Linked DNA regions of Drosophila melanogaster. The protein of the gene in region 1 interacts with the protein of each later gene in a pairwise test. Each region holds a gene or a part of one and is shown in the gene's direction. Other genes may lie near its edges.

Region 1 (4,993 bases):
GCACTTTTAGCCTCCGGAGAGTGCTTGGAGACAGGCACCTGGGCCATGTTGTTGGCCGTTACGCTGGTCTTCGTGATAGGCGGACCGAAGAGGGCAGAGAAGGCATTGCTCTTTCCGGGATCCTCGCTGCGCGACTTGTGTTTCTTGCCGGTGTTTAAATCCGAGTTCATGGATATTGTACCTGGTACGCCTTTGGCTTTGACACCAGACATCTCATTACTGTGCGCTGTCTCACCGCTGCCAACACTGGGCGAAAGCGTTCGGGCGAGACTGCCGGCACCGATGTTAGCTCCGAACACTGGCACTCCACCGCCTCGCATAAGTTTCGTGCGAAACTCCTCCGACGGCGCCTCGAAAATGTGCGTCTTTACCTCGACGTGGTGCTGCGGTGGACCCGTGGACTGCAGTACCAGGTCGTACTGGTAAACAATGCGCTTGGGTTCGTCTCGGTTGCGAAAGTAAATCTCAACAGGCAGTAGGAAGCCAGCGTAGCCGGACTCCTGAATGGCATACGGCGGTTCCTTGACCACTGCAAATAAACAATTCGGGTAACAGAGTTAATCCGACTGAACTACTCCCATGATATATCGCCGCATTTACCTCGTTTGGGTTTCGGAAAGGATTCGTGCAGCACAAAGACCACCTTCTCCACAAAAGCACTGATGTCCGCCTTGTTCACGCCCTGAACGTAGATCTCCCAGTCGTGCGTAAAGGCCTGCGGATGCGGTGTCTTCTTGCTGCGCAGCTTCGACGTGTGGCCAATTTCGAATTGCACCTTGACCGCCATGCCTGTGGGTAGGGCATCAAGTTCCAGTGATTGCCTGCAATTAAGTGGTGAATTAAGATGCTACGTATTAGCGCGCCAAAACCAATGCAACTCGAGTGTGCAAGCACTTAAGCTTGATGCGACGTAAACAAATGATCGCCAGTTATGTGGAAAGGCCCAATGGATTGCCAAACGAGGTGTTAGCCAAGTATTGCGCTCCTTGCTTTCGCTTCAGTGTGCATGCGTGATTTCTAATGCGAATCCTGTGGCAGGTCACGTCCTCCAAGTCTGCGCCTGGCTTTGGAAACCTTTCAATCGGTCTCAGGATGCCCGCACTAGCTACCACATTTTGAATATCCTTTGATAACCGACGTTTTTTGTTATGATTCGCTTTGCGTTCAATTTGTTATTGTTTGTGAGCGAATGTGTGCCACAATGTGGACTTTTCATGTTGCAAGCTTTCGCCGTGTTTGTGGTTTCCTTTAGCCACATGCCCCCACCAGCCACGCTTTATACTTACTATCGCGCCGTGCGGCATTCACATGGAGATGCGCACAATTTTCAGAAAAAACGTAAAAGCTTGGAGCCAGAATCGAAGTAAATTTTGGAAAAACACAGAAAATAAAATCCAAAATGGTAAAGTGTGACCAAAGTTCGGGGCACCAAAAAATACACTTGAGTCGGGTAAAATATACTAGAATATGCGTTGCGTTTACTTTTTCTAGGGTGGCTCGTGAAATTAGTTTTAAATATGTACATATATCTAGTTTAAATTCATTCAGATTTTTAACTCGATGCATTTTTTAAAGAATAGAGTGCTTTATTTGTTTCTTAGTAGAAAAAGTATAGTTTCTTGCCACATGGTCCTTGGGGCCCATTTCCGCACGGAACTGGGGATGGTGCCGCCGAAGTGGTTGAAGTATCAGAGGAGGCTTCCGTCGTGGTTGTCGAGGTGGAGGATGCAGCGAATCCAACGATGGCGCACAGAAGGAACAGAATGGCGAAGAACTTCATCTTGATTACTCTTTTGTGACTGTGATATTTTCCCGGGGATAGTTGCTCAATTTTATACCTTTCATTTTTAGATTTGCAAATATTGACACAAATGCTTCAATTCCGCCTATGTACCAAATATCAAGAGAAAAGAAACAATTCGGCAAACACTGCGTGGTACTTAAATAATGTGTTTTGTGTTTGTTTAGAAATAGCAACACATGGAATTTCGCTTTTTGCCACTTACAGGTTAAGCTTTTAAGCATAGCACGCGGATTCAGACAAGATGATATATATATGGGAAATTTTTATATTGCATGATCATTGTTTTTAAGGAACCCGCATAAACCAAAATAGTCAGCAAAAGCTTCTGTGATCCGGAACCAGTTCGGCCGCCTGTTTGGTTCACAGCACTTAAAAGAACACTTGGGAAAAACAATAAAAATATTTCGCAAAAGTTATGGCGAACGCTGGATAAGTCAGCCAAAAATTGAATCCATCGGAGCGACTGCCTTGGAGCCACAGCCCACCCATGATGACGACCGACTTCGCGGGCAGCCAGTTCGTGTCCAGCAATCCCAACACCAGCTGTAGTGCATCCCGCTGGCTAACGGAGGAGGTATTTGCATGGATATGCAATTTGAAAATGATTTGATTCACATATTTCTGTTGTTCTGTAGGTCTTTAAACTAATCGAAATTGTGCAGCGCGACGAGGCCATCTACAATCCGAGGCACAAATACTACTTTTGCCGCCCGTACGTGGAGAACTTTTGGCGCGAGGTGGATTTGAAGCTGGAAAAGAATCCGGGCGCCAGTCTGGCCAAGTGGACCAATTTGCGCATCTCGTTCCGACGAGAGTACACCAACTATCTGGAGGAAAAGGTGCCACCCTGCTGGTCCTACTTCGACCGCATGTTCTTTCTGCATCCGTATCTACGCAAGAAGCACCAGCAGCCCAAATCGCTGGACACACAGGTGCAGGACGCCCTGGCACACCTCTCGAACCTTTCTAGTCGTATGCAGCGTGAGCGTTCAGTGACCATTCCGGGCAGCAGCAGTATTGGTGGCCAGCCCACGCCCTCCGCCCACCAGTCACCACCTGCACAGCAGCTGGACAACTATCTGGACTACTTTGACGAGGCGGAACACAACAACTCCGAGCTGGATGACATCATGGAGGAGGAGCAGCAGCGCAACAGTCGTTACCACGGCCAGTTGGACGGCAACGACATTAAGTCGGAGTGCGAGGAGCCGGTGGATGACTACGAACAAGAGGCGCACGAGCCCGAGGAGGATGAACAGGATGACCAGGACCTACACAAGATGGCGCCTACTTCTAGCTCTTCATCGGCGGAGGCCCAGCGTCGTTATGCCAACCAGCATTCACACGCCAGCCGAATGCTTCCGGGTCGCCTCCAAATGCGCACCTACCATGACGAGATGCGTGGCGCTATTCGTCCGCGTTCCCAGGAACTCCAAGCTCCAACTGCAGCAGTGGCCGGGGTCAACTACTCCGCACAGCCGACTGCCCATCCAAACATTTCGTTTGTGCGACCTACTTTCAGCAAGCCCGTGGATTTGGTTAGCACTACAACGCACGCCGGAGGCGGAGGAGGAGGAGGTGTTCCAGGAACTGCTGGCTTATCCGAAGCGGAACTGCCCACACCATCCACTGCGGCCGTGGCCACCCCGATGGCGCCCAGTAGTAGTGTTAGTGCCAGCAGTAGCAGTAGCTACTTGAGTCAACGGCATGGGCACAACCATATGCATGGAGGACATCCACAGGTGCCGCCGTCAGCGCTTCCTCTGCGTTTGGAAGCCAACAACGCGTCCGGCGGATCCGTGTCCAACGGCGGTGCGGAGCTGTGCGACTGCAAGACCGATCCGGATGCCATGTTTCTGATGAGCCTGCTGCCCGACATCCAAAAGCTGAACGGCCGTGATCGCGGCAAGATAAAGATAGCCTTCCAGAACATCCTGCAGGACTACCTGTATCCGGATTAGCGTTGATCTCTGTGTATACCTTCCGCTTAACGCAAACGGAACCCAGTTCCAGTATCGATTTTGTTTAATATTCTCTTTTGTATTTTCGTTGGAGAAAAAAAAAGAATCCTTTAAGCTTCGCTGTGCAAGAACAAAGTATCCTTAAAAACGTTTTGAAAACTATCCGGTATGTTTATTAATTGTATAAATATTTATAAATATTTAATGTGTAACACAAGAATAAATTCATTTGAAATTATGCGATATATGGCTAGGTAACTTGAAGTATCACATGAGGATCGGAATGGGTTGCATCCCATCCTCACTCGAACAGCTTCAGCTCGCGGGTGATCTTCTTGATCTTGTTGTCCAGCGTCTTGTCCTCGTGCTCGCAGATGTAGTAGTGCCGCGAGGTGCACTCCTGTCCGTAGTACACATAGCTGTGCTTTCCGGCATTGTAACTTAGCCGTAGGCAGCGACCCTTGCCCTCTATTTGCACCGTGTTGTTCAGCACATCCTCGCCGGTCGCCTCCTCTGCCGCCTGCTCCGAACTGTCCACCAGATTGGCGGCCGTCGAGTTCTCCCCCTTCTGGGCCATCGCAATGGATGTGAGATTCATGTTGGGATTCACCGGCTTAGCCGAATTGGACCAGATCCAGAGGAGGCCAGGATTGAGACCGCCCAGCCAGTAATCGCGACCACGATGCGTCGGCTGATTCAGCAGATAGGCCATGATCTCCTCATTCTCCGAGACCTTCTCGAACTCGGCCAGGTGGGAGTTTAGACCCTTGCAGGCAGAGTTTGCCGTCTTCCAGTTCACCTGCTGCTGGCTGTTGATGTAGTAGCAGTTGTCGCTGATGCGCGTGAAGTTCGCGGGACAGGGATCCTTCACCTCCTTCTGATTGTTTCCGGCCATCAGATAGTAGATCAGCTGCTCCGAGCGCCGCACGCGACTCTCCAGGTAATCTATGGGTGTTTGCTTTTACTTAGACCAAGAACTCCTAGGTGTGACTTCAACTTACCCACTCGATACACCAACTTTTCAATGGCTCCCAAGAGATAAAGATCATTTTCGGAGACAGCTCGGAATGTGGTCGGCTGACCGCCCACAAGATGTTGCTGTTGCGGGTGTTGCTGCGCTATCTGTTGCACTTGCTGCTGTTGCAGCGGCACTGGTCGCACATGTTGCTGTTGCTGGGTACCGCTACCACCACCACCACCACTGCCACCTATGCCAAAGAGCTGCTGC
Region 2 (5,539 bases), on another chromosome or scaffold:
TTTTCATGTAGATCTCTGGGATCCCAAGAGAGGAAGTGCCCAAGGTGCCAGGATGAGATATCGAGGATAAGAATGGGATAACGAAGTTTTTTTTGGAGATTTATGGTTAAGCATTTAAATATTTATTATCAAGATCTCTATTGTGATCCTATCAATATGTTTAAACAAATGGTTTTGGTGCATTTGAAAAAATTCGGTTTTTTGTATTCCCATTTTTAAATCACTGCTCTTATTTATTTTACTTCGACTTTGACTACGCAATTAAACACTATTAAAGCTAAACTACACTACGCAAAACTAAAGGGTACCGTCTAAAAACAATTATTACGCCATTGTTTGTTTATTAATTGTACATCAAATTTTTTTAATCTCTTATGCAATTTGACTTTAAGAGGAAATATATTTATTTTAAACATACCGTTGCCTTTAAGTGTCACACCAGCGACATCTATGGAGTCACAGCGCCAGTCGCTACCAAACAGTTTTCAAGAAATTACTGTAGGTGGCGCCTAACATTCAAAGCAAGGCGAATTGCGGCGGCGAAAAATGAATTCAATCGGTCTAGCATAATTTTGGTCAGTAATTGAATTTCTTTTGTTCGCATTCAGCGAAAACCATCCACAAGATCTATTATTTAGAATCCTGAATATCCAATAAATATTGAAATATGTAAAAGATATATCGTTGTAAGCGATTAAATATATTTTAATGTTATATCCAATACAATAGTATTACTAATTCATCTTCATCAAAATATATAATTCGTTCAGCTGTCTTACTATTTCTGTACTATGTGCAATAATATACCTTTATATGCTTCCAAGTTCTTAAAATGTAATGTAAAAAAAAAATGAAAAAAATATGTAAAAACACCACTCCAGTGGTGAGTGCACTCACAATTTGCCAACAAATAATCCGCTTGGGAAAATAAGTTTTATTTTCCAATTTTGAGGTTTAATGTATACCACTAATTTCCAAGAATTTTTCTAAACAATTTAGTAATATGTGCAACGTTAAGTCCCCATATGAAAACGTATACTTTAAACAACAAACGGCGAAGTAACAAAAGATATATAAATATATAACATAAGAACATAAGAACGATTTCAAGGTCACAGTTTGATCTCTAACTAAAACAGAATTTAAATTCATTCTCTAACACATTCTGGATTCACAGTTGGTTTATCTTACTTTGTCTTTAGCACAACTTTAAATCATTCCTTAATTCATTCCATACCAATCTTTGCCTTTAATGAGTCTCACCACATCACCTTTCGTATCCCAAGCGTGTGGTACTCCTGAAATATGGATGAGTGGATGGCACAACAAAGGATCCATTGCCCATGTCGTCGTCACCCGCTGCCAAAGCACTAGAATTTCTGCTTCTGGACACGTTTCTCACGGTGCACCAAGGAGCTGAGCGGTGTGCGTTGGTTATCCCGCTGCTGAGAAACCAAGTGGAAACTGCAATTCGCAGGGCACCTTGGGAGAATCGAAATCGCCTCGAGATCGCGCCCCTTTTGATGGACCCCCCATACGCACGTGCGAAAGTCGGCTATAAAATAATTGACTTGACTTTATAATTGCAACAGGCGAGCGGGGAGGGCAACAAAATAGAAGAATCTATCACACTGTGAGCAGTCGGCATGGGTTCCCGGGCTGCTGGGCTACCGGGCTACCGGGTTCCCTGGCTCTTCAAAAGGCACCCAGAAACGCTCGTGATTGGTGCCGCGCCGGTATTCTCTAGGGGATGGAAGCGAAGCAACCCCCAGGGGAATAAGTTCAGCACTGATAGATGGTTCACTGCTTGGATGTCTGGGAGTTCTTGGGTGGCTCTGTTCTACCACCTCATCCTGCTCTCTCCGCATCTGATTGCTCTCTCTGCCAATCTCTGTCGCTCTTTTATTGTTCGCGACTGCGCTGTGGACATACCATTTTGTTTTAAGAGCTTCTGTTTTGATGCCACCTTTTTTGGGCCAGCATTCAGTCAGTTGCCGACGCTCAAGGCACAAGGATATTCGCTGCGTTTGCCAGGACTCGCTGGCTGTGACACAAAAAACCAAAACAAATCGCTTTGGCGCGAAACGGAAGCCGCACGGCGAGCTAGGCCCACTCAAGCCAAATCAAATCAAATCAAGTCAAATCAAACTAAAGCAGCTTTATAAACGGAAACGGAAACAGTGATTTAAATAGCCAACGTGGCCATGTCCCGACGCAAACAGGCCAAGCCGCGCGCCTGTCTCAAACGTAAGTTGGGCGCCAGTGGTCAGTGGCAGGACTCGAATCCCCAGGTGGCCACCAACTGACATGGTCTCCATTTCCATATCCTGAGTGTGTTCCAGCATGTCCCACTGCTTACGAGTGTACTCCGTGTGTTTGTCTCTGTTTGTGTGTGCGTGCATCTGATTGATTTGCTTTGATAAACCCCAAAGGTGGGGGGGAGGGGTGGAGTGGACACAACATTACTCTGCCAAACTTTGCTCGCGGGACCGCAAAATGTGACAAATGCAAATGGCCTCGGCCTGCTATGGCCCACAATCCGGTCCGGTTGGGCTATTGCCCATTTCCCCTGCCCTCCAGTTTCGACTACCGATTCCCGGCCAGAGCATACCATGCCGTACCATCCCAATCCCATTCCGTACCCAAACCGGCTGCAGCCCAGCAGCTTGCAGGCATTGGTCAATCCCCAGGGATCAACACACCTAACTGTCAGTGATAGAGAGCGACCAAAGAGGGGGGAGGGGGGGAGGGCATAGTGGATGAGGGAGCCCTGGTTGGGACCCGGCTGGGCGGTCGGCTGGAGGGGTCGGGGCAAGGCGGGGACGAGGCAGGTGCTCTGGGGGCCAAGAGACCCCCGAAACCCAAACAAACCCACCCAGTATGAGGTTGAAACATTGAGTGTTCTGGTCAACCAACAAGTAAATGGTTAACAAAAACGGCTCCATGACGAATGGGGGATACGCTTTCTTGGTTGATATAAATAAAAAATATTGTGGATAAATAAAATATTATTGGAAGAATAAATTAGTCAAGTTTACATATATTATTTGATAGATTATTTCCTTTCTGAGATTTTAATTAAGATGTCAACTTTGGTGATTAATTTGCATTTTTTCTTGTTAATTGGTTCAGTTTATGTTCAATAACATTTACGCGTATTGAAGAAGAATCCATTTTTAGTTAGAATATCCTAAAGTGTTAGGCATAGATTTTGGCCCAAGGACAACATGTTGAAGGACATGAAAAGCTAGTTGACCAAAACGCAGTATTGCCGTTTGGTTATTTTTGTGATCTGGCTGGGAGTGCGGTGCAGTTTTTCGATTCGGTTCCATTTTCCGTTCTGCGGCCGGGCCAAGCCAAGGCAACCAAAGTGCCGTTAATTTTTAATACAATTCCAAATTGTGTCAGTGTAAATAACAGCAGAGCAAAAGCAGAAGCAGCAGCCGCAGCAGCGGCAGCAACAACAATGATAACAAATAAAATTGACAATAAATCCAATGCACACATGTGCATGTGGAGGTGGAGGTGGAGGTGGGCTGGTGGGTGTAAGTGGGTGGTTTTGTGGGTGGCCAGCTGAGGGGGGATCTGAGGCCCCCAAGGACAACTGGCGCACACACAAACTAACTCACACACACACACACAGAGACGGGCGGTAGAGGGAGAGAGAGAGAGCGAGAGACAGAGAGAGATATCCTCATGCTGGGGCATGAAAATTTCCCCAACGTATAAAAAAGCGAACTTTGGCTTGCTCTTTTTGCAGCCATCTCTGTCGCACCAATGTGCCCGGCGAGGGGCGCGCGAAAAAAGCACAAAACACAGAAAACCCATTGCCATGTATTTCTCAGGGGAGTCGGCAACGGCTCTCTGGCCAATCCCCTCGAGAAAAGCGCCGGGCAACGAGGCAGCAGCAACATCCAACGGTAGCAACAGCAACAAACATGCGCCAACTCCCTGGGGAGTTTTCATTTGTTGACGGCGTTGCCAGCCAGTTTACCACTACATATCTCTAGGTATATTCCCCGATTTATATATACATATGTATGTATGTATATGCCGAACATACATATATGTAGGTGGCTCACAAGCTCAGCTATTTTCATTGACAATCAAACAACAACATACCCACATCATCTATTGCAAAAAATAAGAGCCCAAATATATGGAAATTTTTCGATTTGTTTTTTTTATCAAGCTTTTTGAACACCTATCAAAAATATGTAACTTACCTATACAAATTTTGGTCCATTACAGAAATATAACTATATACAAAGGTATATAGGAGGTATTTTATTTGTTGCTAAAAACTATTTAATATAAATTAGGAATGTCTCTATTAATTTAAAGATTTTAGATTATAGAATTGTTTTTACGTTCACCATCGTTTATTTTCCAGTTTTGTGACCCACGATTGATTAATCAAAAGAACCTTTACCAATTCTCAACTTCCCTCCCATCCAGCTGGCATTCTGAGTGGTATGCATATTTTTAGCAGACACTGTCTGCGTAAAATGCTTTAAAATGCCGGCTTCTGCTGGCGAATTCCCATGGCTAGGCGAAAGGCTTAGGATTCCAGCTGCCATAAGTTGTCGTTGCCTTCCTTCTGGCCCCTCTCGCCACTCATTCCCAGTCATCCTCAGATCCAGCCCTTTCCCGCTGGCCCACCAGTTCCGTTTCACCTCATCGTCAACGTGAGCGCGAGTCCTTGGTGTATTGGCAAAATATTTGCCATTGCACGGCAAAATCGCGCGCCAAAAATAGCAGCAGCAGCAGCAGGAGCAGCAACAACAGCGGAATAAGGATCTCAGAATCCAGGAGCTGTAGTGGGAATCCGCTGTGGGCATAGGCTACCATGTGCAATGGCTTCTGCTCCTGCTCCAGCTCCAGCTGGCACATAATGTGGGATATTGGCTGCGTCTAATGGTAACTAGTTTGGTAAATAGAATTTGCTGTGGGCCATGGCAATGAGTGGGTGGTTGGTTGGGCGATGTGGTAGAGGTGGGGCAACAGGGTCGTGGGGCGTCTTGGGGATTCGCCGGAAGGCAACAACACTGCAAACGACATTAGCAACGGCCGTGGTGGTGATGGTGGCATTTTGACAGCTCTGCGGATTCCACGGCACTCACACATGAGCGGCTGTTGTTTAGTTTTGGCTTGAGGATTTTAGTTCGGGTAGCTAAAGTGGCGGCAGTAAAAACTACCAAAACAAAGGAGGTGATTTCTAAATAACTTAACTGGATTTAATTAAAGATGAGGTTTAATTAATACATAAAAACCAAGTAAATCCAAATAATTAAAGACCGAAGGAAGTGGCAAAGCTATCTATTAATTTAAATATATCTTTATGAAAATTCACAGCAAACCTTAATAGTAATATAATAGTAAATTCGTGCAATTATATGGTATTTATAATCATTTCTAGCAATGTAATGAAATGGCTTAAAAGGTTTAATGAATGGGCCAATATTTTGTAGCAAAACTTTTTGCTCAAGTTGACCACCTTTAGTGGTTTATACGAACTGTTTTTCGCCAATGGCAAACG

Evidence for each region. Proteins that work in one complex are often made in the same cells at the same time.
Region 2: the proteins of CG6276 (region 1) and L interact in a two-hybrid assay, tested with the Drosophila melanogaster proteins (one large-scale study listed by BioGRID).

Annotation. Positions count from the first base shown.
Region 1 is NT_033777.3:15,317,212-15,322,204, reverse strand, and holds CG6276 (uncharacterized protein), read left to right. Parts: upstream 1-2,135; 5' UTR 2,136-2,291; coding exon 2,292-2,378; intron 2,379-2,439; coding exon 2,440-3,765; 3' UTR 3,766-4,002; downstream 4,003-4,993. Other genes in the region: ear (ENL/AF9-related), read right to left, coding at 1-529, 601-787; CG44040 (uncharacterized protein), read right to left, coding at 1,598-1,780; CG14866 (uncharacterized protein), read right to left, coding at 4,067-4,710, 4,767-4,993.
Region 2 is NT_033778.4:14,433,914-14,439,452, forward strand, and holds the start of L (lobe), read left to right. Parts: upstream 1-1,985; 5' UTR 1,986-2,204; coding exon 2,205-2,247; intron 2,248-5,539.